Pelodiscus sinensis: one gene and its partners. The main gene of each other region encodes a partner of the protein of the gene in region 3 in a complex. Links are inferred from orthologs where the notes say so. Each region holds a gene or a part of one and is shown on either strand. Other genes may lie near its edges. The genes, in order: ZFYVE28, RICTOR, RPTOR and MAPKAP1.

The links.
Region 1: the proteins of RPTOR (region 3) and ZFYVE28 are in contact, whole or in part, in a cryo-EM structure (PDB 9F43), measured with the Homo sapiens proteins. The link is inferred for Pelodiscus sinensis from reciprocal best matches to the Homo sapiens genes RPTOR and ZFYVE28. Residues at the interface, in NP_065812.1 of Homo sapiens: Arg54, Arg305, Arg306, Thr317, Asp321, Phe337, Arg338, Leu341, Ala344, Arg348, Leu437, Gln438, Leu440, Leu441, Ser442, Gln443, Arg446, Pro474, Tyr475, Lys478, Leu479, Gln481, Ser482, Ser483, Ala484; in NP_066023.2 of Homo sapiens: Arg399, Val400, Phe401, Phe402, Met403, Asp404, Asp405, Val406, Glu407.
Region 2: RPTOR (region 3) and RICTOR share a complex: the UniProt entries of both Homo sapiens proteins name them as parts of the mechanistic target of rapamycin complex. The link is inferred for Pelodiscus sinensis from reciprocal best matches to the Homo sapiens genes RPTOR and RICTOR.
Region 4: RPTOR (region 3) and MAPKAP1 share a complex: the UniProt entries of both Homo sapiens proteins name them as parts of the mechanistic target of rapamycin complex. The link is inferred for Pelodiscus sinensis from reciprocal best matches to the Homo sapiens genes RPTOR and MAPKAP1.

Annotation. Positions count from the first base shown.
Region 1 is NC_134715.1:117,544,615-117,551,747, reverse strand, and holds the start of ZFYVE28 (lateral signaling target protein 2 homolog), read right to left. Parts: upstream 3,038-7,133; 5' UTR 2,680-3,037; coding exon 2,641-2,679; intron 2,333-2,640; exon of another isoform or gene 2,204-2,332; intron 1,983-2,203; exon of another isoform or gene 1,349-1,982; intron 1-1,348. UniProt on the Homo sapiens protein: Negative regulator of epidermal growth factor receptor (EGFR) signaling. Acts by promoting EGFR degradation in endosomes when not monoubiquitinated.
Region 2 is NC_134716.1:104,047,402-104,055,569, forward strand, and holds the start of RICTOR (rapamycin-insensitive companion of mTOR), read left to right. Parts: upstream 1-5,114; 5' UTR 5,115-5,676; coding exon 5,677-5,725; intron 5,726-5,832; coding exon 5,833-5,880; intron 5,881-8,168. UniProt on the Homo sapiens protein: Component of the mechanistic target of rapamycin complex 2 (mTORC2), which transduces signals from growth factors to pathways involved in proliferation, cytoskeletal organization, lipogenesis and anabolic output.
Region 3 is NC_134730.1:28,325,439-28,333,548, reverse strand, and holds the start of RPTOR (regulatory-associated protein of mTOR), read left to right. Parts: upstream 1-5,055; 5' UTR 5,056-5,485; coding exon 5,486-5,650; intron 5,651-8,110. UniProt on the Homo sapiens protein: Component of the mechanistic target of rapamycin complex 1 (mTORC1), an evolutionarily conserved central nutrient sensor that stimulates anabolic reactions and macromolecule biosynthesis to promote cellular biomass generation and growth.
Region 4 is NC_134732.1:25,319,174-25,327,367, reverse strand, and holds the start of MAPKAP1 (target of rapamycin complex 2 subunit MAPKAP1), read left to right. Parts: upstream 1-5,146; 5' UTR 5,147-5,302; intron 5,303-5,581; exon of another isoform or gene 5,582-5,681; intron 5,682-5,876; exon of another isoform or gene 5,877-6,582; intron 6,583-8,194. UniProt on the Homo sapiens protein: Component of the mechanistic target of rapamycin complex 2 (mTORC2), which transduces signals from growth factors to pathways involved in proliferation, cytoskeletal organization, lipogenesis and anabolic output.

The DNA of each region.
Region 1 (7,133 bases), on a different chromosome or scaffold from region 3:
AGTGTAAGAATACCTCATAATCTCTGGCACATACAAGGAAATGTACAGAGTATCTCTCACTGCAGCCAAATCCAGCATTGTCTAGCTCCCTCCCACCCTGCACCCACACCTCCTGGGTGTCCATGCTAAATTATATAGGAATGCTCCGTGGGACAAACCAACTACTACAGGGATCCTTGAGACATTTCAGGCCAGATAATAGAAGGGGAAAATAGCTGGCATAATCAGGTAATATATGGACGAGTAGCATCACTAATCCTAAATTCCCATCTTAATTTCTAATTAACTTGTTTTTTAAGTCTGTATTTCTCCCTGTTGTGTTACTTTAAGAAATATGTTACAGTAACAAAAGTTTTAACAGATACTTATTTCACAGGTAGCTGTTTCTGGAGGAATACACAATTACCAATTACAATCAACAAAACAGATTGTGAATATAATGCACACAAGAATAACTTACTTTTATCCTTATAAGCAAACCATATATGAACAAAAGTGATGCTTTGGGGAGGGAGGCAACTTTGTTTTTTTATTTTTTAAGAGCAATTACACCATTAAAAATGAGCTATTTAAAATGTTAATGACTTTGATGATGAATACTTCACCACAGGTTTGAGAATTTCCTTTGCTAAAAAATTAAGTGAAATAATACTATTCAAAGAACATGCTATTAATTACAGTAAATCCATTTAACCAAAACTAGATGTCTCTTAAACCAACATCAGTTCACTTTAAAATCTGAATCATTTCAAAAGAGCAGCATCAGTTAATGCATTTACCAGTGAGTTCTACAAATCTGTGTCTTTGCCAAAATGTTTTCCTGGATTTTTTTTAATGGTTTCTCTCTCCCCTGCTGGGTAAAAGATGTGCACAAAGAACAAGCTGTCTATGGATGGGAAACCATGAAGGTGACTAAATACAAAGCGCTATATCAAGTTTATAAACAACTCAAAGAAAAATTCCACCTGCCTCCAATTTCTCTAAGTTAACACTTGTTAACATTTCAAAAAGGGATATTTAATCAGGATTATGATTATATATGAAATTCTACAAAACCAGCATTGCCTAAACTATTATTTAGAGCATCAAACAAATATACAACTAAAGGACTAATTATTTGGATGAAAATAGCAACCATTTTTTGAAATATTTAATATGAGACTTCACACCATATTAAAATAGATTAGTTACTTCATATCATAAAACACTGCATTATCAGGTAGTTCCATTCATTGCCTAGACATCAGCAAGATACAACAGCTATCCAAAAATATTAACCACCTTAATGTACAACCAGAATGTCATACAGAAAAAACTACTGCTCGCCAGACTCCTGGCATTACTTTACCTGTTTCAGAAGCGTCTGATAATTCTCACGTAAACTGTCTTACAAATCTTGCCTTATGCTGTTTTAAATTAATTAATTTGAGGCAAAACACCACCAGAAGACATCCATCCACAAACTGCAATGTAACAAAATCTTCACTTAGAAGGTCTCACGTTATATAGTAGTATTCCACTAAAATATAGTATTAGCTGCATTTGACAATGTGAACATTCTAATCTCTTTCCAAATGGCAAGCACATTATATGTAACAACATAGTAAACAACTGTTATAGGAGTTTAATAGAAACTAGAAGTCCAAAGGGAATAAAGAACTGCCTAGTAACTGAAGACTACTCTGGAACAGTAAGTCTCACCCACTAATCCAGCATCTTTACATCATCATCATAGAAAGACACAGTAAGGAATCCTCCAGTCAGACAACTATCCCCAAGAACAGTATCAGAAAGCCTCCCCCTCATCCTCTTTTGTTGCCAGGTCCAAACAACAATAAAGCACATGCTCTGCTTTGTCATCTCGCCTCCTTGAGCAAATAAGCTGCCTGAAGGGCTCTCCTGACGCGCTGAGAAAACGCTCACTCGAATGCAGGTGCCTTGCAAATCCGAGCTCCTCCTTCGCTGTCTCCGATTAGCTGCCTCTGAAGCCACAGTGGATTATTATCAGCAGTACAAATACAACAAGATCCCGTATCTCTACAGATCGCGGCTGCCTCCTTTTTAAAACCGCGTCTACTTTGTAATTAAAAGCAAAACCCGCATACTCTTCCACTGCCAAGGACGTAATTTGTGGTAAATTGAAGACACAGCAAATCACGGGATGCCCGTGAAAGATGAGGAAGGCTGCGAGTGCGGCGGGTTCCCGAAATCCCGAGTCAGCGCCATACACTGAGCAGGGGAGCCTGTGGAAGCACCCCCCACAAAGGCAGGCACTACCAGACCCTTCCTCGGACCTCTTCCCTAGCGCTGCAACACCTCAGCGAGCTGCCCGGTAAGACCTAGACAATAACCCACCCTTCACCTCCTGCTCCCTCCTCTACCCACAGCAGCTCCTAGATTAATGCACGGGGACGGGCACCGCGGACAGGTACCCCCGGCACAGCCAGGCCGTGCAAGGGGCTCCCGACAAGGGCTCCACTCACACCAGGGATCCTACAAAGCGCCTCGGCCGGCTCTTCCCGGGACCCGAGCGGCGCTCACAAGCACCGGGCGCTCCCTCCCCCTCCAGCGGGCTGACCTCAGGGGCACCCCCAAAACAGAGCCGCCGCGCCCGGAGAGGCCACCTGCTTCCCAACTTACCTTGGGCTTGTAGAGCCACTTTCGGAACCTGTTCATCATCCCCCCGCTTGCTGCCTCCACGGCCGCTTCCCGCCCCGGCTGCTATGGGGGGGGGGGGCTTATGCGGAGCCTTGCTCCCCCCCGGCACCTCAGGGGGACCCGCCGAAACTCCGTCCCCTCCTCGGGCTGCTCTGCGGGGATGGGCAACCCGCCCACGCCACCCCTAGGCTGGCGAGGCGCCGGGACGGAGGCTCTGCCCTGCGGTGGAGCGAGGATCCCGCAGGCCCCCTCAGGCTGACCTGCCCAGGCACCGGCCGGCAGCGACAGCGGCGCCTCTCTTCATTGACAGCCCCCCAAACATTCCAGTGCCGCCAGCAGCAGCGCTCAGCCGGCGCATGCGCCCGGCCAGGCCCGCTCAAGCTCTGGCCAGCGCTCTCTGCTCTCGGACCAATTGGAAGGAGGCCGCGGGGGCCCCCTCCGCGTTTACTCCTCCCACGCGGCTGCTCATTTGCGTAACATGGATCCCTCACCCTTAGCGAGTTCAGTGCAAGGGGCGGAGGGACTACCAGTCCCAGCATGCCACGCGTCTTTCCCCTTCGTCTCCCCTCCCCAGCCCAAGGGGCCACTGACATAAGGGCGGCGCGTTGTGCGCTGGTACTTGTAGTCTTGTCATAGGGCAATTCTATTATTGTTACTCAAGCGTTACTTAAGCACATCATGATTATAGCCCACCCAATTCCTTGGATTCCGGCAGTTTCTGGGGTTAAAATAATCCACCAGCTGCAGTCCCAGTGCTCAGTTGCTAGGCGACAATAGGTAAACATTCGCCGCCATCGCTCTTTTAGTCTGGTAGTTTTTTACCGCTCCCTGGACCATTCGGAGAGATGGAGGCGGACGGCTAAGTGGACTACAAACCCCAGAAGCCTTCGCGCCCCCACGCTGCTAGATGTCTGGAGAGAACCGAGCAGTCTCCGGGTGAACTGTGCTGGTTCTGCTGTGGCTCCAGCGGTGAGTGGGTGGCTGGGTGTGAGGGGGAGGGTGACCCTTGCTGTGACCCTTGCTCAGGGATGCGGAGCCTCCAACTTCAAATACAAAGGTCTCATCACAGCCCGCTCGGGGAGGCGGGTGGGAGAAGGAAAACTCCACTCCAGAGCTCGCCCCAGCCCTTTCCCTGTTTGAGGCTGGCAGATATTTAGTTCTCGGTGCGAGTCTTCAGGATGAAACCCAATGCTGCTTCACTGCAAATTAAGCACTGGAAAAGGAAACCTTAAAAGCCACATTGTGTCCATCCTGCACAGATTTTAAAGGCTGCTTTACTGCAGTTTGTTTGTTTAGAACAGAGTATCCTTTGGTAAAGTTTTCCCTCTCCCACACTGCGGTGGAGCTTATTAGACTTGCTGGTGGCCTCCCCTTCCTCTTAGGAGGTGGCTGTTTTTCATCCTTATTTCTGTCTGGTGATATTCCCCACGTCCTGGGCACTTTCCAGACAAGATCCCTGTTGTAAGAGTAAAGAGAGACAGCAGGTAGAGAAGGAGCATTACATACATGCAAGTACTCCAGCTAATATGTCAATGTAAAATTGCTAAAATAGGACAGGTAAATTGTAGCTAATTACTCCACAAGCATAACGTTGACATATCCCAAGGCATGTTTCTGAAGCACTTTGGGGTCCTTTATGATGATAAGTACTAAAAACACATGAGAGACAAAGTAGGTAAGCAAGTATCTTTTATTGGATGTACTTCCCTTGATGTGAGATAGAAACTTTTGACCTACACCAGAGGTGGGCAGTAATTTTTGATTGGGGGGTCACACCAAGAATTTGGTAAGTGGGCAAAGGCTGCATTCTTCCATTATCTTAATGTAGGTGGTGTGGGATGGAGGTTGGATTCAGAAAGGAGCTTGGAGTAGGAGACTAGGTTGCAGTAGGGAGTGTAGGTTCTGGGAGGGAGTTTGGATGAAGGAGGAAAGCCACTATTCTATAGTAATAGGACAGGAGATTGTGGTGCAGGGTCCTGGAGGGGGTATGAGTGCTAGAGAGGATTCTGACCTGTAGGAGCCGTGTAGGAGGGGGTGCAGGTTTTTCTGTTGTGACTTGGGGCAGGGGATTGGGATGCAGGGTTTGCGAGAGGGAGTGGAAGTGCAGGGGGTTTCAATTACGTGGGGTAGTGTGCAGAAGGGGGGTAGGAGAATTGGGGAAGAGAGGCACTGGAAATCCAAAAGCAGGCTCTGGCCAGGAGGTGCTTACCTAGACAGTTCTCTTCCAGAAGTCCAGCAGGCTCCTCAGGCAGACTCCCTGCCTTCTGAGTCCCTGCACACAGCTCAGAGGTTTCCCAGTTCAGTTCACTAGAGCCACCAGTAGTAATGCCAGTGCCTGGATGGGTCAATGACAGTAGGGTCAAAGCTAAGACCTCTGGATCTTAGTACTTGAATCTCTACCACCTGAGCTAAAAAATTCAACTCTCTTAGCCAGAGGTGTAGCAGGTTCATCATTCTAGTTGACCTACCACAGAGTAGACATACCTTACACAGATAAACATCATCTGTTACATACATAACCATAAATACACTTTTGATAGACACAGGAGAGAAGACAAAAAGGATTCGGATGTGTATTCATGTGCATAAGTGAAGGGAAAATAATTGAGTTCATTGTGTAGAGGTTAACCAGAATTCTAATGGCCAGGGGACCTGACAGGATTTCTGGGCCCCTGGGCAATGGGCAGTTGGGGGGGAGGAGAGGACCCCTCCATGCTCCTCAAAGGGGAGGGGGCCTCAGGAAGAAGAGGTGGGGTTGATACAGACAGCCTGCAGTGCCTTCCAGACAGCTCTGCACCCATGGGTGCCATTCAGGAGGGGGGCAGTATCCCCTACTACCAAGTTTGAACCCCTGGATTTCATACTTGAGGTCTGCTTAAACCTGCATGCCCTGGTCCAAAGGCAGCTCTTAACTGCAGTAGAGTTTGAGCTGCTTGCAGCTTTGCCTTTGGGGCAGGGAGTTTGTTAGAAAAAGAGGGAGGCAGGATGATTAAGAATAACAAGACTGATCATTTAAGTAATTAAGGGATCATTAGACCATCATGAAAACATTACCAGGTACTTAAAAGCTAGGGAGGAAGGGAAAGGAGTAGCCATGAGTGTTGTGCTGCTGGGATTTGCATTTGGACCAGTACTGTTAAATTTTTGAATGTTCTTGAAAAATGGGCAAATTCTGTGATGGCAAAATTTGCAGGTACTACAAAATTACTCAACATAGTTAAGTCCAAAGCTGACTGCAAAGACTTACAAAGGGACCTCAAAAAACTGGGTGACTGGACAACACAATGGCAGATGGAATTCAGTGTTGAGAAATGCTAGGAACAGGCAAAGGGGGATGGATCATTTGATGAATGCCTCTTCTGATGATGCTTTCTGAATATGGTGACTATATTTTCTGCATTAAATTAGGGACATGTTAGCTATGCCCCTGCCAAAAGAAGCCCCAACCCTGGAGATAGTGCTCCCAGGGTCAAGATGGACACATGACCAGAAGTAAAGGGTGTCGTGTGACCCCTCTAAAAACTCCTCCCACCATCCTTCTACCAATAGAGATGGATTTTGCCCTCATGGATTTGGCCCATGCTACTATCCTGAAATTGCATTAACCCAATTTGCTTTGCATTAACTGAGGGAGAGAGTGGAGGAAGCGTTCTCTCTAAGATTTTCCTCCCATGAGCAGAGTGAATTTTGTCTTGTGCATTTGTTCGGATGTGTCCCATTAGAATAACTGCTATTGCACATACTACTTGTGTTTAAAAACCCCATTTCCATCTAAAGTTATGCTGGTGTAAGACAAAAACATGCCACAAAGAGAAGCTATTCCCCCACTCCAGTTGATTATAACCATGAAATGGTGTGATTAAATATTAAGGGTGCAGAAAGTTATATGGTAAGTGGAGGTGGTTTGGTGTAGCCATGTTTCCCTTCCATTAAGTTTTTTTACCCCACATTCTTTGCAGTTTTCATGGTTTTATTTCCTTCTGTGCCACAGAAATGAGAAAAGCATCTGGGTCATTTTGAGCAGGATCTACTCAATCTTACTGAATTTCACAAGAACCGTATTCAGTCCTGATTTAAGCAGATGTAATTCCCCTCAAGTAAATAGGATTGCAACCTTTTAAGGCTATTAATTGAAATTCTGGGTATGGTAGTAAAGGGTAAATGTCTGTTGATACTGAAAACTTTTTAATAGCTCAGAATTAGAAAATATCCTATTATACTTTGCAAACAGAGGGATGCCAGTTTGTGGATTTCACTGATTTTTAATGGCCTTCCACCTTATTGTGAATTTGGTTCCCTTTTTATTTTACTGAAGACAGCATCCAAAATAAACAATTTGATTAACTTTAAACAGGTTTTTTTTAAATGACAAAAATATGTTTAAATATAGTCACACACTGAACTACTGTTAAGAATCTTTTTCTGTTACACAGTACCCGTATCGGGGGTTCTGACAATTAATTATGGAGCTTGGT
Region 2 (8,168 bases), on a different chromosome or scaffold from region 3:
CCAATAGAATATGAAATTAGGCTACATGCTTTTCTTCTCTCAGTATCATCCAGGGAGTTTTCTCCAGCATCCAAATAGGATGGCTAGGTGCAAGAGAGCCATAATCACGCATCTCACTGAGGCAAGCTGAAAAATGAAAAGTGTCAGGTGTGTTCTTTTGTATTCCATCACTTTTTTCTACCTCTTTCATTACTAGAGTGCATGGTGACAATAAAGCCATTTTGTACTATGACAGTAGCTGGTTCTTATGCTGTACATTAAGTCCAGTAAACAAACTCAAGGTGTTAATCTATTTCCAAGAAAGGTCAAGAAGAGAGATGTGAAATTCATAAAAGAGTCGCATATATACATAAACTTCAAAGTTCATCAGGTTTCTAGCTGTATTAGTGAGTTTGCTGGCTTGAACCTTCTGGAACACATCCATAGCTTGGATGGGTCATTTAGTTCAGAGCTTATTTGTAGAAAGGTTATGCCAGAGATCAGGGGTGGCCCATGAGCCTAAGCAAACTAGGCAGTTGCCTAGGGCGCCACTGGCCCGGGTGCCCGACGATGATGTGGCAGGCGGGGGCGCTGATCGCACTTTCTGCCTGGGGCACCAGCCACTCCTGCTAGAGGTAAGAAACACTAAAGACAAAATGGAGAAGATGAAGCTAACCTTTGCCATGCAACTTGTATTTCCTCTTTTCCAAATACAATCTGCCCAGCAGTGACCTGGAAGCCTTAGAGTTCTATCCATAAACATGTCCCTACATGCCCTGTTGAGTCAGAAGGTGTAGCCCTTGACCTTTTCAATTGATTCCCTTTACTGTTGCTGTTCCTTGATGAGTCATCAAATAAGGTAGGGAGCAGTGATGCCAAGCTATCATCCAGAAGCATAAACACCAGTCTGAAATACAGACATACATACATACCTATAAGAAACTCATAATACAAAGATAATACAAACACAAACAAGATTATCATACTTGGCAAATTATAACATTTTTGCACATACCTTACAGGGCATATCTGACACAATTTTTTTGTGATTTTACAATACTGGTGTTCAAAATATCCTGAATTGTCCCTCGATTCCATATAGCATCACAGTACATAAGGATTGAAATTGTGCTGTTCCCAGTCCTGCGAAGGCTGTTCTTTCCAGGGCATGAACTTTGAAAGTCACCAGATAGGGGAGCAGACTTCCTCTACAGCAGACTTCTATGAAGATCTGGCAAATATCCAAGTGGAAGTTACTTTCTCTGTAATAATTGGTGCTTGAAAATAAAACCTCAACTTTTTTTAATGTTGCAAAATTGATTTTCCTCTTGTCTTCATTGGAGTGGAAATAAATATGGCTCTCATTGGTATGACACTACTTTGTGGATCATCATCATAAGCAATTTTGGTTTTTATTAGCAGAGTTGTTAGACTGAGTTTATTAATTAAACTATTAATAGAGATATAGCCTAGTCTAGTCTAGCTGAAACAAAAAACAGGACTATGTAGCACTTTAAAGACTAACAAGATGGTTTATTAGGTGATGAGCTTTCGTGGGCCAGACCCACTTCCTCAGGCCCATGAAAGCTCATCACCTAATAAACCATCTTGTTAGTCTTTAAAATGCTACATAGTCCTATTTTTTGTTTCATTAATTAAACTGTGATCCCTCTGCTAGCTGACGTTGTTTCAGAGCAAAACAAAAGCAAAACATTATCCCACATTTAAAAAGTGACTCTTTTTTAACTACCCCTATTTTTGGAAGAATAGTGGTAGAGTTCTTTTTAACACGAGTGAGTGCCTGTATGGCACAGATAATGGGCTTAATAGTTTATAATTTTGTAGCTCACAGGATTCAAACAGAGTGCTGGGACAATTTTTATTGTGGGAGTGCTGAAAGCAGAAACCTTGTACATTTGAACCTACTTACTTTGGATGTCTCTAATATAAGAACATCTATGGTATGGAGGAGGAAGTGGCTATTCATGCTGCTGCTTTTCCTTCTGCCAAGCTGGGGGGAACGGAAGCATAGCGATGTGCTTCCCCTGCAGCTTTTCCTCGCTGTTCCCATAGCAGTGAGGGAACAGGCTCTGGGAGCAGCATGAGGCATAGAAATGCATGTACCCCTGGGAGTGGGGCATCAGGTAAGTGCCCCATTCCCATCCCCTTCATGCCCAGACCCCTCCCTGACCTGGCATATCTTTACTCATAAGAACTAAAACAATGTTTCCTTGAGGAAGCAAAGGAGAGGAGAAATAAGCAGGAATATCCTATTTGACTCCATCCAGGATAGATTATCCTTCCTCAGGCCGAAACTAGGACTAAAGACATAAGAAAGGACTCATGCATATAAGCCTTTTATTTGTTTTACTCTTTGCTCTGTGTGTTTTATACCTTGGAGGAATGAATAAATAATGCTTTATTTTGAATATGCTATTTCTGAGTATCTGCAAAGTTATACTGTCCCACACTTCTGTAGGAAAACAGGTGATAACATCAAGTTGGGACTATTGTAAATAGGATTGCAAAGCAGGGGGCTTCAGCTAAGCAAGCCAGTATAAGAGCTGTTGTATGGAATGGACCCTCATGCCCTCTCTCACATTGACTGGCTAAAGTGCAAGGTACATTGACAAAGCTGTATGAAGAAGTGAGAACTACATTGTCCCAGTTTTATAGCTTGATGAGACTGATATCCAGAGCTCTCAATCCCATGGCTTTCAAACACATTAAATTAATTTCTAAGAGTTAACAAAGAAAATGAAAGTCAATTTTAATGGTATAATCATATTTTTAAATCAAACATGCTTGTCATGATCTCAATATAGACAAGATGATTTTTATATCAGTGCTCGATTTTCTTGAAAAAGGATTTTTTACAAAAAATCTCTAGTCCAGCAAGCTCAGCCTGGATTATGGAATTATTCCAAGGCTCTTCCTATCCCATAACATTACCAATAATAAAGGAACTGAAAGTTAAATTAGGACTTCAACTACATCTGTGCAACTTGTTTCTTCCAATTGATTTTCAGAGGCATGTAACCAATGGAAATTCAAGTAAATAATTCTGTTGATGATGTTGTGTAAAATACAATCTGTAGCTCATTCCCTTTTAGCTGTGTTGGCTCTGCAAACAGCAGTCAAAGCTTATTTTAGTCACTAACATTAGCAAGAGGAGATGTCAGCACTAGATGATTTGATGGAAAAATACAAAGAGTACTGTTGAGTAAGACAATGACATTTTTGTATAAAAACTTTTAAGAGTAAAATTGCACTTTGAAAAGCGCAGAGCTCACTTGAGAAGATTAATGCCATTTTATTTTAATTTTGTGTGTTCATAGTTTAATGTCATGGCTTGTGTGCTAAGTTCTTTAAACTCTTCTTCTGCATAATAAACAGCTATTTTTCACAAATAGACTTAAAAATCAAATGTTTAAAATATAAAGGATAATTTCTATCAGTTTATAATATTAAATCGTATCTTTGGTATGGACAAGGCTCAGTTGAATCAATAGCACATGTTGCCTGGGGTAGATGAGATTGCCTGAGTAATTTCATTCTTCTCTGTGATTTCTAAAACAGATATTGGAGCATTGTCTTTTGACCCAAGTGATCTCTCTTTTAGAGGTCTCCAAAGTTGCACTCCTTCTTTTCAATATGTATGTTTATTCATAGGGTAAATTATGAATAGTTTTGTGTGGCAATGCTGTTCACATACACCTTATCTATTTTTTTCAGTGGGATGATTGCCTCTTTTGGGGTCTATGTGTCCAATAGGGAAAAAGTGCTAGGATAAGAGACAGCACAGTGAGATGGTGGATAAGATAATGTAATAGTTCAGAATACATGATATCAGGTGGACTTCAGAGAGAAGAGAATGGTTGGCAACCTGCTTAGTATCAGCTGCAGGACACAAAGCTGTTATTCTAACTTGAGCTTGTAAATGCAATTCAAGGTGTTCACGTTGATCTATACAGCTCCATGGCTACGTCTACACTGGCCCCTTTTTCGAAAGGGGCATGCTAATTTTAAACTTCGGAATAGGGAAATCTGCGGGGGATTTAAATATCCCCCGCGGGATTTAAATAAAGATGTCCACCGCTTTTTTCGGCTTGGGGAAAAGCTGGAAAAAAGCGTCTAGACTGGCCCGATCCTCCGGAATAAAGCCCTATTCCGGAGGATCTCTTATTCCTACTTCCTACTTATTCCATCTGTGGTCCTTCAGAAGCAGAGTTTCCTGACCTTCAAGGCATGTTTTAAAGCACTTCTGCTTACTTGGTCTTTCGCCATGCATGAGGGTATAAAAGATGTGGCGTTTCTGTGTTGGGAGACCATATAGTTAATGAATTGACTTAAATCTTTGAGCATGTGCTTAATTTGTTAAATATTAGAATTTTATAAAATATTAAATGAGAGAAATACATCAGTATATAATATTAGATAAATACTCCCATTATTTTATTTAGACCCATAAAAGCAATGTGGAATTTTAATTTTGTTCTTGTTCTTTTTAATTAGTCTACATCTGAAAATAAAAATTCCCTGACAAATATATTTGACATGGAACATGTCCAGTGGTTCTACTTATTTGAATTATGACCTTGTCATTGAGCAAGTGCAGTTTGTTTATTTTTTGTACCTGACTTAACGGTTCAGCCACGACATCTTAAGATGCTGGTTGAGTCTGTCATGTAGGAAGGCAGTTTCCAGTACTGTAAGCTCTTCTGGGAGGGAGACGGGGAAGCATTTTGCCATATTTTCCTCAAAGGTGTAGAAATAGATTGAAAGCAGCACAACAGGGTAAGTGACAGAAGATAAGGGCAGGCTGAAGTTTTCTAAAATGTTTGTTTTACATCTACCATTTTTGGGCCTTTTCATGAACAACAGTTTCATTTGCACTGCTTACCGGGTCAGAGGTAAAAGCTGCTGGAGAAGTCTGCTAAAGTTACAAGGCTAGAAAAGTAACATCTGATCTAGTGCCTTGTTGGCAACACTTCTTATCAATAGTTGTGATTGTCTGGCGGGAGGTAATCAAATGTTTTTGTTTACCCTGAAAGCCCTAGCTCCTGCTGGAATTCAGTGAGAAGTCCAGCTCCCACTTAAGAAACAGATAAAGAAAAAACCCTCCAGTCCTCCTGGTCGCAGAGGCGCAGCCACGTGCTCCAAGTCCCACCAGACGCAGACAACCTCCCCACCATTGATACACAGAAACCACCTCGCGCTGTTAAGTCCAAGCTCAGGCTCTCTGGATTCTGGGGCTTTCCAAGACTGTGAAAGACTCAAGGGGCTGGAATGGGAGCAGGGCGGGGGAGAAGCGGCAGGCGCGAGCCAAGCGGCGGGGACCCGGGTCGGTGAAGGCGGCTGCCCCAGCGCTGTAATTTAGCCCGTGAGGCTCCCCCTGCCTTGGGAATGGGAGCAGCGAATGGAGGGAAACGCCCCTCGGGGTGCTGAGGGAAAGCGCTCTGGCCGGAGGGACGGGCGATGTGTATGTGGCGGAGGCCGACAACTCCCCCAGTCACACCAGGCTCATTCGCCGGCGTTTCAACTGCCAAGCCGGGGCCCCGCTCCTCGTGCCCGCCGCCGGCCGCTCCGCGCCCCCTCGCGACAGGCCGGTAGGGGCCGCGGGAGTCGGCGGCGGCGGCTCTGTCTCCTCGCGAGAGCGGGCGAGGTTTCCGGTGTTGTGACTGCGGGGCTGTAAACATGGCGGTGAGCCTCCGCGCCCGCTCGCTGAGGCACCTCCGCATCCGAGGTAAGGAGCCCGGCTAGGCCCGGCGGGAGGCGCCGCGGCTCCTCCACCGCATCGTCCCTTCCCCGCCCTGGCTAACAGGCTCTCCGCTTTCCCTCCCCCTTCCGCAGGTCGGAACGACAGCGGCGAGGAGAACGTCCCGCTCGATCTCAGCCGAGGTAAGCGGGGCCGGGGGCGCCCCGTGCGGGGGGGGGGGGGCTGGCCTTGGGGAGGCCAGGCTGGGGTGTCACTAGGTGCCCTAGGAGTCCAGCTCCGCCCCTACCCTACGTGAGGTGGGTAAAACACGGACCCTAAGGCGCGGCCGGGGCGGGGGGGCCTGGCCGAGGGAGGCACGTCCCGTCCCATCCCATCCCTGCCCTGGGCGAGGGGCTTGTGTGCGTCACGGGGGGCTGCTTAAGCCACATGAGAGGTGGCTGCTTTGGGGCGGAGAGCCCTGGATTGCTGTCCCAGGTGAGAGCGGATTTCCGGCCCGTCTGCAGTCCTGACACTGGCCGGTACCCATGGGGAGTAGGCTTCTAGTGTGTAACCAGATTGCAGAAGCACTGAGAGGCAGGAGGCTATTTTCAGTATTACAGTCTGGATGGCTGTAGTGAAGAGGTGAGGTTGTTGCTAGGGGTATATGGGTCACCTCCCCCATCTCTGTGGGTGAGCGTGGGATCTGGTACATATACATTTCTCTCCTTCCTCTGTACTTGTTGGTAGAAGCCTCCTTTCTTCAGGGTAATTATTTACTGGCTGCAGGTGGTGGTGTTTTTTTTTTCTTATGGGGTTTGGACAGCTCTCCAGCCCAAATCTCACCCAAGTCAACCTACAGACCCACCTCATTTTGTCACTGTGTATCAGATGGTGCTTCAACAATTTGTAATAAATGATTTTGGGGCTATGATAAGTCTTGTAGCCGTCACTTCAAACCTGTTCCATATTTGTTCTAGTGGGATCAGATGCAATATTTAAGATTAGGATTAAAAGTCCCTGGGGGTAACCTGTTAGTTTGTAACTTTAAAAACAACCAACAGTCCTGTGACACCTTAGAGACTAATACATTATTATCATGAGCTTTCGTGGGTAAAATCTATACTCATCTGATAAAGTGAGTTTTATCCATGAAAGCTCATGATACAATATATTTGTTAGTCTGTAAAGTGCCACGGGACTGCTGGTTGTTTTAAAGATTCGAGTTGTCAGTACTAGTTAACACAAGTGATTAATTTAACACAAATTAACTTGATGGAAATTTAAATCATTATTAGTTTTAATTGCATTGTTAATAATAGAATGCCAATTTGAGTTTATTTATATTTTTGGATTTTTACATTTTCAATAATGTTGATTTCAATTACAGCACAATATACAAAGTGTATAGAACTTGCTTTGTATTTTTAATACAAATATTTGCACCATAGAAAAGAGTATTTTTCAGTTCACCTCATACAAGTAACCCAGTTCAATCTCTTTATCATGAAAGGGAAACTTACACATTATTTTGTTTTTGAGTATAGCTATGTAATAAAAAAAAAAAGTAAGAGTCTGAAACCTACAAGTCCACTCAGTCCTACTACATGTTCAGCCAATCACTAAGATAAGTTCGTTTACATTTATGGGAGATAATGCTGCCAGCTTTTTATTTACAATATCACCTGAAAGTAAGAACATGCAATTTTGTGGCTTGATTGTGTTGCAATGTAATTGCAAAGAGATTGCATGCCAAATATGTTAAACATGTTTATGCCTTTTTATGCATCGGCTTGTTGTGTACATATTTGTAATAAAAAAGTAGTAATTAGGTCTGTCAATCATAAACATGTAATCACCTCAAAACATACAAACATTTTTTTAACTAGCATTAATTGCACACAAGGATGCTGCTGCATGCCTCTGCACAGGTAGTTCTTTTCCCCCTGCCCTGCTCCGCTGCTGCTCCTGATTTCTCTCCTCCTGCATACCATGGAACCATTATTGGCCAAGCTGCAGTGGACTAAGATCATGTTTTCTGTCTGCTGTGCCCAGTGGGGGTGGGGAGGAGCTGATTTTGGGGTCTTCACTCCCCCTGCCTATGATCCCAGTTGCTGCTGAGCGAGGGTCATGGTATGGTGGAACCTGTCTGCTGTTGGCTCAGAAGTGAGTGCTGATGATAGCTGCTGCTGCTGCTGGCTGAAAAAGTGTTCAGGGTCCTGAAAGCTCTGCTTAAAGAGTCAGTGCTCTCAAGCGTGTGCGCGCGCGCGCGCACACACACACACACACACACACACACACACACACACACCATGCCACTATCAGTAACATTGAAATGTGTTTTTATTATTAAACAATGCAATTAAAACTGTGATTAATCATGAGATATAAAAAAGTCACAATTAATCACACTTAATTTTCTAATTGTGTGACAGCCCTATTTAAAACATATTTTCTAGACTTCCTGTCACCATATTACAGCTTAAACACTTTA
Region 3 (8,110 bases):
GTGGGTTTGTCAGAACTCCATGGTTTCCCTTTCATTCCCTCACTTCCTCCCTGAGAACAAAGGGGGACCATAAAGTTTTACTTGATTCTCCTGGAGCACAAGACACCATCATAAATTTGCTTTCTTTTGAGGTTGCTTTTTGTTCAGTTACATCATTTTCTGCTCAATTTATCACAAAAGCTTGACATACACAAACAAATCCCAGCCCATTCAACAACTTCAGGCAGAAAACCAATGCCTGGCAGGATTTTAACAAAAAAGTGCTGCGAACATAAAACCCATTCAACTCCTGCCCAATGTCCCAGTCTGCATAAAATAGCACCCCCTCTTCTCCCCTTTGTGAATCGTTTATTCCAAAATAATTATACATACATTTCCTCTTTTCTAAAACGTCAGGGAGTTTCAGCATGAAAACCTAGACATGTGGTGGGTACGGGGGGGAGGGGAGAATTCCCTTCAGCCCCCAGATTTGGGGAACACTCTGCTGCTGTGCATAATGTAAACAGGAATCCCCATGACCAAACTTATTTATACACTTTCACGGTACCATTTGTGTCAGAGAAATCAATCATTTTCCCCTTTAACTTATGTAAAGTGGATTCTGGATCAGACACATCCCTTAGGGGTGGATCTATTCATGGAGATTCTCTCTGTCCTAGTAAGGCGGAGAGGATGGAAAAGGACAAAATGCAGGCAGGATCTGATCAGAAACAGTGACATGAAGAAGAGTCACATTCAATTACACCAGCAGACAGCTAAAAAGTGACACGTTTTTAATGTGCTTATAGACAAAGGCTAGAAATCTAAATAATAAGATGGGTGAACTAGAGTGCCTGGTATGGAATGATGGTGTTGATATGTAAACCAGAGGCCCCGAGAAGGCTGAGTGAAGGCTGCTCTATGGCCTGAGATAAGCGCAACTTAGTTTTTTAGCTCATGTGGTAGAAGAGGCTCATGGCTTTAGCCTCTAAGGATGCAGGTTCAATCCCACCCACCGACAGCTGTTGGTTTTACAGATATAATAGGTGGTGTCCCCCTGGGACCTGTACTGGGACCAGTCCTATTCACCTGTGCAGCTGCCTATTTAACATTGTTCAAGTACTTAAGGACCCCCCATGGGACCTGCCGTAGCCTGGGGAGGATGGCCTCTTCTTTGGCCCCAACCTAATCTGGTTTCCAGGCTGCCATGGCTTAGGCAGCCCAGCCCTGAACCGTGCCATAGTAGCTCGGCCCAGCCCTATCTGCGGCACCAGGATCTGCTGTGACCAGGGCAGCCCTTCCCCAGCTCAAACACATCCCTGAACTGGAACCTATGGGGAGAAGTGCCTTTCCCTTCTAGTGCAGGTGCTGCTGCGAGGAGTGAGAGCTGGGGGGAGTCTTCTCCATCTTCACAGTAGCCCTGGAGCACCCTCCTTCACCTTAACTCTGTTTGTCAGAGGCTGGGATGGGCAACAGGGGCAGGATCGCTTGATGATTCCCTGTTCTGTTCACTCCCTCTGGGGCACCTGGCATTGGCCACTGACGGTAGACAGGACACTGGGCTAGATGGGCCTTCGGTCTGAGCCAGTCTGGCCGTTCTTATGTTCTCGTCAATACTAAATGCTGTTTGTTTTATTGTGAAAAAGTCCAACTATAAATGTATGGATACCATGAAGTTTTTTTTTAAAAAAAAATCAGGACTCTCCATATATTGTCCTGATACAATAGGATAAAAATAGGATCCAATCCTGTTTATTATGTATTATTTATTATCTTTCAGGTACTTTGTGCCAACTGCTGTAAATCAGAATAACCTCAGTGAAGTTAATGGAGCTACAACACCCATTCATGTGGCCCTTACACATCGGCTGCGTCTAGATTGGCATGATTTTCCGGATATGCTTTTAACAGAAAAGTTTTCTGTTAAAAGCATTTTCAGAACAGAGTGTCTAGATTGGCAGGACGCTTTTCCACAAAAGCACTTTTTGCAGAAAAGCGTCCGTGCCAATCTAGACGCGCTTTTCCGCAAAAAAAGCCCTGATCGCCATTTTCTCGATCGGGGCTTTTTTGCGCAAAACAAATCTCACCTGTCTACACTGGCCCTTTTGCGCAAAAGCTTATTGTGCAAAATAGTATTTCCGCAAGAAGCACTGATTTCTTACAGTAGGAAGTCAGTGCTTTTGTGGAAATTCAAGCGGCCAGTGTAGACAGCTGGCAAGTTTTTCTGGAAAAGCAGCTGATTTTCCGGAAAAACTGGCCAGTCTAGACACAGCCATAGGAAACAGATCCCTGAAACTAACTTCTGTTCTCCAAACACGAAAGGGTTATGCTCTTCATCCAGACATTGCTAGTCACGCTGATGGTCTTCTCAGAATTGTGCTGGACTAAGTCCAAGACCATGGTCCTCAAAGTTGATTTGGTTGCACAAAGATTTTGTGGTCTAAGTAAACAATTAAAAATCAGCAAAGCAGCTGCTATGTGAGGTTGAGTTCCAGCCAGAAGAAAGAAGGAAAACAATGCTTGTGAACAAAAAGAGTCAGCATTGGTAAGAAAGATGGGTATAATGTTAAAAAAAGAATTAGAAGCCCAACAGAGTGAAGCCAGTTACAAAAGTATTTGAAAAATAATTATCTGTGTTTGCTTCATTGAGCCTTGTTCACCTTTTCCGACTGTACTGGTCATGCCTGCTTTACATGCTGTGAATCTGTTGGAACAGGGATCACCTATATGTTCTGTATCTGTACAGTGCCTAGCACAATCAGGCGCCTGCTTGTATTAGGGCCCTCTGGGAGCTACTGCTAAACAAATACAAAATCAGTAGTAAGTATTTTGAGGTTATCCTCATGTGCCTGGCAAAGGAGTCTTCCTATGACAGAGCCGTTTCCTTAACTTATTAAATAAAGTAATGTATATTTAGGTTGTATTTAAAGCTTGCAGAAATTACACCTTTATTAAGTACTGTACTAGCCTAAGGCCCTTAGCCCTATGTCACACTTATATATCCAAAACATGGCCTATGTGTTGCTTAAGACTGAAGGAAAAGGAGGGAGTAATACCCTATAAACTGTAGGGTGTTTGTGGGAGTGCTGTGCAGAAAGTGGGGGTTCTGGGGTGTTTTGCGGAAGGTTGGGTTATTGAGGGGTGCTGTGCAGAATGTGGGGTTCTGGGGTGTTTTGCGGAAGGTTGGGTTATTGAGGGGTGCTGTGCGGAATGTGGGGGGTCTGGGGTGTTTTGCAGAAGGTTGGGTTATTGAGGGGGTGCTGTGCGGAATGTGGGGGGTCTGGGGTGTTTTGCGGAAGGTTGGGTTATTGAGGGGGTGCTGTGCGGAATGTGGGGGGTCTGGGGTGTTTTGCGGAAGGTTGGGTTATTGAGGGGTGCTGTGCGGAATGTGGGGGGTCTGGGGTGTTTTGCGGAAGGTTGGGTTATTGAGGGGGTGCTGTGCGGAATGTGGGGGGTCTGTGGTGTTTTTCGGAAGGTTGGGTTATTGAGGGGTGCTGTGCGGAATGTGGGGGGTCTGGGGTGTTTTGCGGAAGGTTGGGTTATTGAGGGGTGCTGTGCGGAATGTGGGGGTCTGGGGTGTTTTGCGGAAGGTTGGGTTATTGAGGGGTGCTGTGCGGAATGTGGGGTTCTGGGGTGTTTTGCGGAAGGTTGGGTTATTGAGGGGGTGCTGTGCGGAATGTGGGGGTTTTGGGGTGTTTTGCGGAAGGTTGGGTTATTGAGGGGTGCTGTGCGGAATGTGGGGGGTCTGGGGTGTTTTGCGGAAGGTTGGGTTATTGAGGGGGTGCTGTGCGGAATGTGGGGGGTCTGTGGTGTTTTTCGGAAGGTTGGGTTATTGAGGGGTGCTGTGCGGAATGTGGGGGGTCTGGGGTGTTTTGCGGAAGGTTGGGTTATTGAGGGGGTGCTGTGCGGAATGTGGGGTCTGGGGTGTTTTGCGGAAGGTTGGGTTATTGAGGGGTGCCGTGCGGAATGTGGGGTTCTGGGGTGTTTTGCGGAAGGTTGGGTTATTGAGGGGTGCTGTGCGGAATGTGGGGGGTCTGGGGTGTTTTGCGGGAGGTTGGGTTATTGAGGGGGTGCTGTGCGGAATGTGGGGTTCTGGGGTGTTTTGCGGAAGGTTGGGTTATTGAGGGGTGCTGTGCGGAATGTGGGGTTCTGGGGTGTTTTGCGGAAGGTTGGGTTATTGAGGGGTGCTGTGCGGAATGTGGGGTTCTGGGGTGTTTTGCGGGAGGTTGGGTTATTGAGGGGTGCTGTGCGGAATGTGGGGTTCTGGGGTGTTTTGCGGAAGGTTGGGTTATTGAGGGGTGCTGTGCGGAATGTGGGGTTCTGGGGTGTTTTGCGGAAGGTTGGGTTATTGAGGGGTGCCGTGCGGAATGTGGGGGTTCTGGGGTGTTTTGCGGGAGGTTGGGTTATTGAGGGGTGCCGTGCGGAATGTGGGGTTCTGGGGTGTTTTGCGGAAGGTTGGGTTATTGAGGGGTGCTGTGCGGAATGTGGGGGTTCTGGGGTGTTTTGCGGAAGGTTGGGTTATTGAGGGGTGCTGTGAGGAATGTGGGGTTCTGGGGTGTTTTGCGGAAGGTTGGGTTATTGAGGGGTGCTGTGCGGAATGTGGGGTTCTGGGGTGTTTTGCGGAAGGTTGGGTTATTGAGGGGTGCTGTGCGGAATGTGGGGGCCTGGGGTGTTTTGCGGGAGGTTGGGTTATTGAGGGGGTGCTGTGCGGAATGTGGGGGTCTGGGGTGTTTTGCGGAAGGTTGGGTTATTGAGGGGTGCTGTGCGGAATGTGGGGGTCTGGGGTGTTTTGCGGAAGGTTGGGTTATTGAGGGGTGCTGTGCGGAATGTGGGGGGTCTGGGGTGTTTTGCGGGGTGCTGTGGGGCGTTTGCAGGGTTTGGGGTGTTCTGGAGGGGAGGTGTTTGGGGGTTCTGAGGGGATAGTCTGGGGCACCCTTTGGAGGGGGTCACCCACGACACGCCCACCCCCAGGCACTGGGCCAGCAGGCTGCGAGGAGGAGGCTCCGCTCCCCCAGCCGAAGCGCGGTTCCGAACGCGGCCGGCGCGGCTTGTCTCCCGCGGCGGCCCGTCCCCGCGGTGCATTGTGGGCCGCGGCAATATGGCCGCCTCCTTGGTGTGCGCCTGAGGGGAGTTTCATTCGCCGGCGCTGCGGGACGGGGCCCCTCCGCCGGGGGCCGGAGCCAGCGCGCGTGGGGGAGGAGCCGGGGGAGGGCGCGATGGGCCGAGCCCGGCTCCCGCCGCAGCAGCCGGGGAGCGAGCCCTGCCCGCGGGGCTAGAGGCCCGGGCGCCCCGAGTGCTCAGCGACCCCTCCGCGCTGCCCGGGCCGAGGAGACGCCGCTTGCCTGCGGGCGCCCCCTGCACGGAGCCGGGTCGGGCCCCCCCGCGCCTGGGACCCCTCCCCCTCCTGCCCCTGAGCCCCGCCCGGCAGAGGGACCCGCCCGCCCCGGCCTGTGCGGGGGTGGAGAGCGCGGAGCCCTTGCGGCCGGACCCCTCCCCCCCTCTCCCGATGGAGGCTGAGATGCTGCAGTCGCCTCTCCTGGGGGTCGGAGGGGAGGAGGAGGAGTCGGACCTGACGGACTGGAACTTGCCTCTGGCCTTCATGAAGAAGCGGCACTGCGAGAAGATCGAGGGCTCCAAGTCTCTGGCCCAGAGCTGGAGGATGAAGGACCGGGTAATGCCCCGGGGCGGGGGACTTCTGCGGGGGGAGGGGTAGGTGGCGGCTCTGGTTTTGATCTGCCCCATGTGGTCGGAGGCACCGCTAGAGTTTGTTTCTAGTAGTCAGGTTTGCCTGGGGCCCAGGCACTTGTTGCATCGCTACCGTGGAAGTGAACACACGAAGAAGTTAATAGTGACGGTTACCAATGTTCCCTCTCATCTTTTCCATCCATGTGCGGAATACATTGGGGTGCACACAGAGGCAGGTGTGAATGTGCACCACTAGTAGAAACCCAAAACCTAGTTGTGGGTGCTCTGCTGATCAGCCGGGTGGCAGTTGAGCCTCTCTTGAGTGGCGGCACAAACACACAACTTAAAAGGAAGACTGTTCGAGTTCCTAATTATATGCATTTTAAATAGCTACACTGAGTTTCTGCGAAATTGGTGCTCTTCTGAGAAAGTAGTGGCATTAGTGGTGTCTTAAAACAGACCTCACTGGTTCATGTTAGTGGCATGGGCAGTGGGTGCAATGAATGCAAGTATTATATTCTGTGAAGTTCTCCTTTGAGGTTTTTTTAGTCCTCCATTGGCATGTTGCATGGAGTATATGAGTGATGCATGCTTACCAGAGCAATGTCAGGCTCATGATGTTTTTGAGATGGAAGATGCCTATTTGATCCTTAAACATGTTAACCTACAAGGCAGGATATTGTTTCTTGACCGAATATCTACAGAACATTAAATGGATGCTGTATTATGTAGGGATGTAAAATCCTATTTAATTGGCTAACTGGTTAAGCATATTAACTAATTAAAGGGGAGCTGAGCAAAGGCAGGAGCCTGGCTGGAGCACCACCCTCCCATGCATAGCAGGCCCCCTGTGGGGCTGGGGCAGCCCATAGCAGGTGGGGAGCTGCTCCACTCCCCCACTGGTTAACTTTAACCTGTAAGCCACACCTGTTAAGGATGAGACTGGTTAAACCTTCACATTCCTAGTCCTAAGCTTTGCTACTAAAAAGCAAACTTTTCTCTCAGGCCCATGTAGTCCTCTGTGGCTTGATTTCTACAGTTAAACTTTTCTGGTTAGATATAAAAGTGGAATGGAAAAGAGTGTGCACTTGATCTTCTCTCAGAACTGGCTATAACTTAAAGATTTTCTTAGCTCTTGGGTATATACTGCCTTTGTGTGTCTGTGTATGGACACCTAGTATGTTTCCAAACCACAGTTACCTGATAAACAACTAACTTTCTCAATTCATTATTACTGTAATCTCGAAAAAGGTGTTTTAAGAAGCAATTCTATATTGGGCCTCTAGTGGTGGACTAGATGGCACGCAATAGGTAGTGTCCTACCAGATTTATGGTCCATTTTTGCCAATTTCACCATCCTAGGATTTTGAAAATAGTAAATTTCATGATTTCAGCTAATTAAATCTGAAATTTCATGGTGGTGTAATTGTACACCATTACAATTACAGAGCCAAAAAGAAATTGTGGGTCTGGGTGTCACGGGATTATTGTAAAGGGGGAGGTTACAGTACTACTACCCTTACTTCTGCATGATTGCTGGTCGCAGTGCTGCCTTCAGAGCTGTGAAGCTGAAGAGTGGCAGCTGCTTGACTGGAATCCAGTTCTGAAGGCAGAGCTGCTACCAGCAGTACTGCAGAAATAGGGATGGTTTGCTGTGGTATTGCCACCCTTATTTCTGAGCTGCTGTCTACAGTCAGCAGCTGCCACTTTCTAGCGGCCCAGCTCTGAAGGCAGCAGCACAAAACACCCTTACTTCTGCGCTGCTGCTTTTATTTTTGGTTTTCTTGTTGTTACCACAAATAATTATGATGTTAGAATGTTCCATAATTGTGATAGAATTCTTATTTAATAACCACCTCCTCCGCACATCTTCCCCAAATTTCCACAGACACTTCAAATCTCTGGGAATGTTGAGATGACTTATTATTGACAATGTTAATTACAGTAGGGTTTTAGGAACACCAACATTAGGCCCCCATCTGTACAGTGTAGTACAGTGTCTGCTCTGAAGAATTTATAGTCTAAATAGGCAAGATAGACAAAGGGTAGTGGAAAAGGATCTAATGTACAAATAGAATGGACAAAATGATGACAGCAGTCGTACTAGTTCCACAGTATTTTTGGAGGGGAAGGGTTTTAGAGTACTGGGTACATGGGGAGGGTGCATGGGATAAGGAGGAGAGGAAGGGGTAAGCATGGAGTGAAGCTGAGGTAAAGAAACTGGGTAGAAGCTTGGAGCAAACATTCAACCAGCACAGATGAGAACAAGTCCAATCAGAGCTGTAGAAAATATCCTCTGATCCTGCTTAAACAGCTTCTGTGTATGCTTTGCCTGATTTCATTTCTGACTGGCTCCTCCCTATAGTTTTTTTACCCGAAGGGCGGATGGTGGGAGAGGAGGCGCTCTCTGGGTTCCATTGTCCCTACATAGTTCTGGGTCCAGGGG
Region 4 (8,194 bases), on a different chromosome or scaffold from region 3:
AAAGCAAGTCATGGGAGGTGGGGGTTGGGCTCCGTGTGGTGCTGCTGCTTTGAAACACCGCTGTGACATTTCAAGACATCCAAGACAGCAGGGGCACATGGAGCCCAGGTCAGCTGGGACTTCCTAGCTGATCCCAGGCTCCATGTGGCATTTCCAGTTTGAAATGCACAAGAGCCCCTGCTGGGGACTCTTGTACATTTAGGCTCCATGCAGGTGCTTCCCCTTTGAAATGTACAAGAGTTCCACCTTTGTCCATCCACTAGTAAATGAATCAATATTTAACATCCTTAGCTTGGTCCATGGGGTGCCCAATTCCCCCATATCCTCTACCCTTCAGGTATGAAGCCATGGGGTGCCCAGCTTCTTCTGATCCCCTACTCTTGGGCCTCGGAGCTATGAGGTGCCCAGCTCCCCCTACCTTCCGTCCTTGGGACTGAGGTGATGGTGTGCCAACTTGAGGCTTCGCTGCACCACTGATATTTGGGGCTTATGACCCATGGGGTGGCTGGGTCCACTTTTCCTTCAGCCAGTAGTGAATCAGGGTTGGATGCAGACCTGGTCAGTGTCCCAGGTTCCGTTGGCCCTCCCATCCCTCCTTTTCTGGCTCCTCAGTCTCAATCCCTGGTTGGCCCAACCCTGAGCCATATCAAGAGATGTGGCCAGTTTTTAAAAGTGACCCCATTAACTTGAAAATTGGCTTTGTGCTATAGGCTTTGACCTCACAGGTGCTCATATGCTTACTAGGGCCATGTGGCATTGATGGGGGATTCTGCCAGAAGATTACTCTTGGCAAATAGAAATATGCACTGCTCATATCCATTCAAAATGCAGCTGCAGGAATATTTTTTCCTAGATTGTCAATGAGATCATGTCATCCCTTTGAATCCCTCCATTGGTACCGTCTCTATCAAATCAAACATAAGCAACTTGTTTTCATTTTCAAGGTCCTTCATAGATTATCCCCATCATTTCTCATTCATTGTCAAAATGCCAACTCCCACCTTGCCCACTGACACCAGCCTCCATTGTCCACTTGTTACATTTTCAAACAAGCACCTTTGTGCCTTTGACAGTGCTGCCCCTCACACTTACAAGAATCTCCCTGCAAACATCCACAAAGCTACCGCATTGATCTCCAGAAACTCACCTTCACCATGACGCCTGCAAAAATGGACAGCAGTTACACCATCGGCAGTCTGAAACCAGTCGGTCATAATTAATAATATGCTTTTATTCCCCATATGTTTTTATCCCTCTGTTGTCTCGTTTTCTGTTTTGATTGTAAGCTCTTGGGGGCTAGGATTGCCTTTTATTGTGTTTGTTCAGCACCAATCATAACAAGGTTGTGATCAATGACTAGTGAACATGGCTGCTATGGTAGTACAAATAAACAATATGTGCCAACTATTCGTGTACAAACTATAGTAATTACAATTAGTGTTTTTCAGTTACAGTTACATAGGTAGAAAGTTTGAAGGAACAATAGCTCATTATATTTGAGGTGACCTATAACTCAAACTGTTGGGCTAGATAAACTGGCTTTTGGCCTGCAAATTGCTGGTTGTATTGTGAAAATTTAGATGAAAATTAGTCAAAGTTAGAAGAGGAATAAAAGTGGATTCATAATGTAATCTGCTTGCCCCGTAAACTATAGAGAAACTGTATGTATGGCAGGGTTATTAAAAATCAACAGGTATTTACATCAGGCCACACAGGTTAGTAAAGATGGGAATAGAACCCAAGTCTCTTTTCAGAAACCTACAAATTAATCTGAAAGAAGATCTATCAGATGAATAGCCTTTATTATTTGTATTATATTTTTCCTGTGTTTGAAACTATTAGATACCGTTTGTGATATTTTTCAACTTGGTTTTCCTATTTAAATAATTTTATTTGAATTTTGCAGCAGTTAGTGTAGCATAATTAATTCTAATATTTATTAAAATAATTTTAGATGCCATAACATTTTACTATTATTTATTGTCACTTTTAAAATATTACACAAAATATATTCCAGTGCACATTAGTAAATAAATTATCCTTGTAATAGCTAGTGCATTTTTAATTATAAATTTATCCATGTCTCCCTTTATTTATGATAGTGATTCTCTGTACTGCAGTACAGTATACCTTTGAGACACTGTAAATTACACATTCATGGACATTGCATTTCACAAAATATACCAGGAATCTGATTTTTGAACATGCTTAATATTATTATTATTAGCAGCTAATAATGATAATAGCAACTAATGTGAGCATTGGCACTCAGTGCAAACTGACCCATAAACTGCAGTGCCAATGTCCACCTTTTGGAGGAGATTGCATTCTGTACATAGAATCAATGAGACACAATAGGCTGTATTGTATGGCTTGTGTGCACTTAGGTCTGTCAAAATGGATCGCACCGAAAAGCAAATTATTCCCAGCAATGTCCATTTCTTCCAGTTAAAGGCTGGCAGGCACGACTTAAGTAGTTATCACTTGTGGAATAGTTTCTCAAAGAAAGTGATGAAAGCTGCCACTCGGGACATTTAAAACTCGTCTGCACCAAGTCATGGAGAAAAGGCTGTAATTCACTGTACAATTATGTGCATTGAAGATGTACAGAGGTTCTAACTCATATAGCACATAAAAATCCAGCACCTCTTTGGGGTGGGTCTCCTTGAACTCATTGTGTCCTGTGCATTGATCCCCATACTAACTCCTTGTACAGTTTTATTGCCAATTGAAGATAATTGTCCTAATAAAGCTATCAAATATTCAGGACCAGCTTGATCATCAAATATATCATTCATTCATTATACCATCATGCCTGGGCTACACTTAAAAATGTTGTAGGTAGAACTATATTGATTAGGAGTGTGAAACCACCCAAAGGTGCTGACATCCCTTCTAGCCAGGCGGTGCTAGATCTCCCCTGTGCTTCAGGCCCTGCTCCCAGTCCCACTCCTTTGCCCATATCCCTGCCCCACCTCTTCCGGGCTCCACTCCACCTTCCCCCCTGAGTGCACCTGGTTTCTTGCTCCTCCCTTGCCCTCCCAGCTCATCTTAAACTGCAAATCAGCTGTTCACAGGAAAGTGAAGGGAGGAATTGGTCAGCGGGCCACTGCATAGTAAAAAATAAAAGCTGTAATAAGTCAATTTCAATTGTAAAACTTTGAAAGAACCATAAATGTTTTTTTCAGAGTTAGGAATAACTTCCATTCCCAAGGTGTTCAAGAACTCAAGTTCTATAGTAATCTGTTTGCTGGTACAGCTTATTTCAGTTGATGAACCAATACCAGCCCCCCCAAAAATATTGTCTGTGCAAGTTGTGTTTTCACTTGTTCTGCCCTTTTTAGGCTATACAAGGGGTAGCTGTCTGCACTTCTCTGAAACAACAGATCCCACAAAGCACAAAATGAAGCACATGAAAGCCAGAGACTAAAGGGTATAAAATGAGTTCAGATTGGCCTGCTCTCCTTTAGAGAGTCTGACCATGTTTGGGACACATTGCAAAACCATCCTCTTTTATAAGTTTTGCTACAATGACCAAGATTAATGTGTGGCAGAAAGGAACAACCAAAGTGTATCAACAGAAAGTTAACTAAGTGCATGCATAATTTACATGGGAAATAGTGACCAATTACAGTGACGAGCACTATAGAAAACCCCAGCATGAATTCTACATTGGCCTGCTAAACCCAGGGTTGTGAGTTCAATCCTTGTAGAGGCCATTTAGGGATTTGGGCAAAAATTTGTCAGGGGTGGTACTTGGTCCTGCTGTGAAGGCAGGGGACTGGACTCAATGACCTTTCAAGGTCCCTTCCAGTTCTAGGAGATAGGCAATCTCCATTATTAAGAATACCTTTCCCCTTGAAACATCTGATCCTGGTCATTGTTTGGAGGCAAAGTACTGAACCAAGTAAATCCCTGGTCTACTGTAGGTTAGCAACTTGTGTCCCCGAGAAACAGGTAGGCTATGTCTATACTGTGCCTGTTTTGTGCAAGAAATATGCAAATGAGGCTGTATAAAATATTGCTGAGCCTCATTTGCATAATTAACAAGGCTCCATTTTTGCACAAGGGGCTTTTGCAGAAGAGCCGTTCTTCCTGAAAAAATGAGGAAGAATGGCTCTTGCGCAAAAACCTCTTGTGCAAAAATGGAGCCTTGTAAATTATGCAAATGAGGCTCAGCAATATTCTAGACAGCCTCATTTGCATATTTCTTGCACAAAACAGGCGCAGTATAGACATAGCCATATTGAAATAACCCAGTATGAGAAATCTGGGATGCAAATTTATCTTAATTACACTATTTTCTTGGCTGCATTTGTTGGGTCTTTCTTATGTCATACCTCTTATATTGGCCAAACTGGTCAGTCTCTATGACAAAGGATAAATGGACACAAATCATACCTCAGAAATGGCAACACACTTAACCTGTAGGGGAACATTTTAACTTGCCAGGTCACTCATTCATCGATTTAAAAAGTAGCCATTGTTCTACAACGGAATTTCACTAAGCAATTACAGAGAAACCAGTAGTCCTGCGCAGGGATGTAAGTGACAAGGGGTGAGGCTAGATGGCCCTGTGGTCTGACCCAGTACGGCCGCTCTTGTGCACCCTGGCTAGTAGCCAACTCCCCGGTGAGCCTGGCTTACTGGACAGCTGGGTCACTATTCGACTGCTCGCTTCCCACCTTGCTGCCTCCGCAACAGAGGCAGCAAAGGGGGCGGGGCAGCAGGGGCTGGGGCAGCTTAAAAGCCAGTCCCCCCCCCCGCCCCGTCTCCTCAGAGGGGGGGGCGTGAGCCGGGGCTGCTCAGTGCGGGCTGGGCCCTGGCCCCCACCAGTCCGGAGCGCCGGGCCGGCGGGGGGGGCGGGGCCCTGTGCTCGCGCGGGACCTGACGCCGCAGCCGTTGGCCTCGAGAGCCGCAGGCCGCCCCGCTGTTTTCCGTTACGCGCGGAGGGGGCGGGGCCTGCGCGGCGGCTAGTTACTCGTTGGCCGAGTGGCCCCCGCGCATCGCTCCGCGGTCTGAGGCACCCGAACGAGGCGCCTTGGCCAGGGCGGGGGCGCGGCGCGGCCACGTTCCGCGCGCATGCGCAGAGTGCAACGTCTACCCCCCCCCCCCGAGGCCAACGGCGTTTGGCCCCGGCTTTGCTGTCTCCGTCACTTCCGCTCGGAGGTTGTGTTTCCGGGTTAGCGGGGGCCATACCGCTAGCTGGCGTCGGCAGAGCCTTCTGCGGCCCCGGAAGCGGCCCCGCCGGTGGGGCAGGAAACGGCCCCGGCCCCGCAGGAGGGCAGCGCCCGCCAGGCCTGTAAGTGGGGACGGGCCCCGCCGCGCCGCGCGCCCGGCCCCTCACGCTGGGCAGAGCGGGGTCGCCCCTGGCCGGACCAGGAGCCCGCCCCCCCGCCAGGCCGAGGCGCGGAGGGAAGCCCCGGGGGCCTGTTCCCGGCGAGCAGCGCTGAGCCCCCCCCCCCCCCCCCCCCCCCCGCCCGCCCGCCCACAGGGAGTTGGCACCAACCGCCGCTTCCGCCTCCTCGCGCCGGCGGCCCGTGAGCGGGGATGGCACGTGGCCGCCCGGCCCGGGCGTGAGGCTGAGACCGAGCCACAAACAGCCGCTCGCTGCCGACCGACAGAGCTGCGAGACGTAGCGCAGCGAGCCTCGTGCCGAATAGCGATCGAGATGCAGCCGGGTTAGTCTGGTGCAGCTGAGACACAAGGCAGGACTGGGCAGCACTTCAAAGACTCACAAGATGGTTTATTAGGTGAGGAGCTTTCGTGGGCCAGACCCACTTCCTCAGAGCAAATAGTGGGTCTGGCCCACGAAAGCTCATCACCTAATAAACCATCTTGTTAGTCTTTAAAGTGCTGCATAGTCCTGTCTTTTGTTCGAACCACGTGTTGTTGCCGAAAGGCGGTAACTACTAGAACCCTTAGCATGCCTGTTAGGGCACAGTTCTGTTGCTAACTCATAACATTGTGTGGGTGACAATGGGGCGTCAGCTCCTGTGACTTAGAGATTCTTCTGTAGAATCGTACATGTGCTCTGCCTAAAAGTCTTACTAAATGCAAGAAACCGTTATTCTGCCTTTAGGGTTTTTGAGAGACTTATGTCCACATATCAGAATCCTGTACATATGCAATTAGTGTGGTCTATTTAGAGAGCTTTATGGATGTGTCGCGTTATAGTTTATAAAGCCTACTTAATGCTCGCCAATCCTTTTGCAAGATTTCATGGTAATGGCACAAATAAGTAGAGTAAATGGACAGTAAGCTATAGTTGGGATAAACAGTGTAGATCCAGTGGGCTTCTAAGAAGTGATTTGAAAGGGGAAAATTTGTGAAGATTTGGTGGGACATGATTGAAAAAAAGGACTCGGGTGCATTATAGAACTTGAGAAACTGTTGGCAGGCTTTGGTTTAGATCAGGTGTGGACAATAAAATAGCAGCATTTCCGCAGCATTAGCCCCCTTTGAGCCGCTGACACTGTATTTACCTCACTTTCACAGGTATGGGGGGGGGGTCATGATTCCCATTAGTTGGGAACGGTGATCGGCGGCCAACAGATGCGGTGCTCCTCCATATCTGTGCAGGTAAATATGGCGGTTACAGCGGTGTGGGAGCCCGCCAGGTGCTGACTCTGACAGACTGGATCCAGCCGGTGGGCTGGTATTTGCCCATCCCTGGTTTAGATACTGAGTTTCTGATTCCCATAAGGAAGTACAATGGACCTGATATCCTGGGATAATACTGTAATGTATTCCATTGGGTTCTGCTATTGCACTCTCGTATTAACATATCCTGTTGTGTGAGCTACTTTGATTTGGATCACCCAACCCCCTCTAAGATGTTACCCTGGCAGTTCAGGGTGCTTGCAGTGTAACCATTAAAAGTGATGATACTCTGTGTATTTGCTGGTCCCTTGCCTTGTTTTCTGACACCCATGAGAAGGGGTTGCCAGAAAACTGCAGTGCTCACGTACTGTGGGAATTTCAGTATGGGAGAGGGTGTGGTATATTTTCTATTAAGACGAAGATAAGGTTTGAAATTAATCTTATTAAAATAAGCACTAATTGGTTGTCATCTTGGCCAGGAATATTATAGGCCTGGATGCCCCAAATGGTTCATCATGTGGTTTAGTTTACAGACAGTTGTCAAGTAGACTATTTTCAGTTTAGCTCACCTTTTATTTAGGTCCTGTCAATACTAAGGATGTTAGTGTGTACTCGTTTACATGATTAACCAATAAGGCTGGGCTCATTGGTTAATCCTAACAGTTACCTGCAGTCCCCCAGTGGTGCCTCTGTATCAGAGACAGTGGGGGCAGGGTGGAGGGCGAGAGCCACTTCCCGTAAGGAGCTGGCTCCTGCAGAACCGCCTCCCCCCGCTGCCCAGAGAGGCAGCAGCGCAGAGAGGAAGGTGGGAGGCAGTGCTTCGTGGGACCTGGCTTAAAAGCTGGCTCCGCATAAGCACCAGCTCCCTCAGACCTGCCTGCCTCTCATAGAATCATAGAGCTGGAAGAGATCTCAGGAGGTCATCAAGTCCAACTCCCTGCCCAAGGCAGGACCAATCCCAACTAAATCAACCCTGCCAGGGTTTTGTCAAGCCGAGACTTAAAAACCTCTAGGGATGGAGATTCCACCACCTCCCTAGGTAACCCATCCCAGTACTTCACTGCCCTCCTAGTGAAATAATTTCTTCCTAATATCCAACCTAGACCTCCCCCACTGTAACTTGAGACTATTGCTCCGTCCCTACTGTGAAACAGCCTTTCTCCATCCTCTTGGGAACGATGATAGAGAGGCAGCAGTGCTGGGAGTGGGAGGTGGCACATGGGAACTGGTATATGCGGGAAGCCTTCTTTCAAGTCAGCTGCCTGTGTGTACTGTCTCCCAGGGAGCCACCGGTCACCCATGCTGCTGCCCCTCTAACAGAGGCAGTGGGGGTGGGGTGAGGAGCAAGGGGGAGCATGTGGGAGCCGGTTTAAAAAGCGACGCCTGCCTGCCCCCACATGTATACTAGTAACAGCTAAAAAATTCAGCAATTACACATTTATTTTTATAAACCTGTAATCGATGAATGTTTAACATCTCTAGTCAATACACAGGCTGGAACTAAAATAACTACATTGGTTGTAATTAAAACTGTCCCCATTATTTTAGTGCAAATCTCACTTCTTTGGGATTGCTAGTGTCCTGTTTAGGG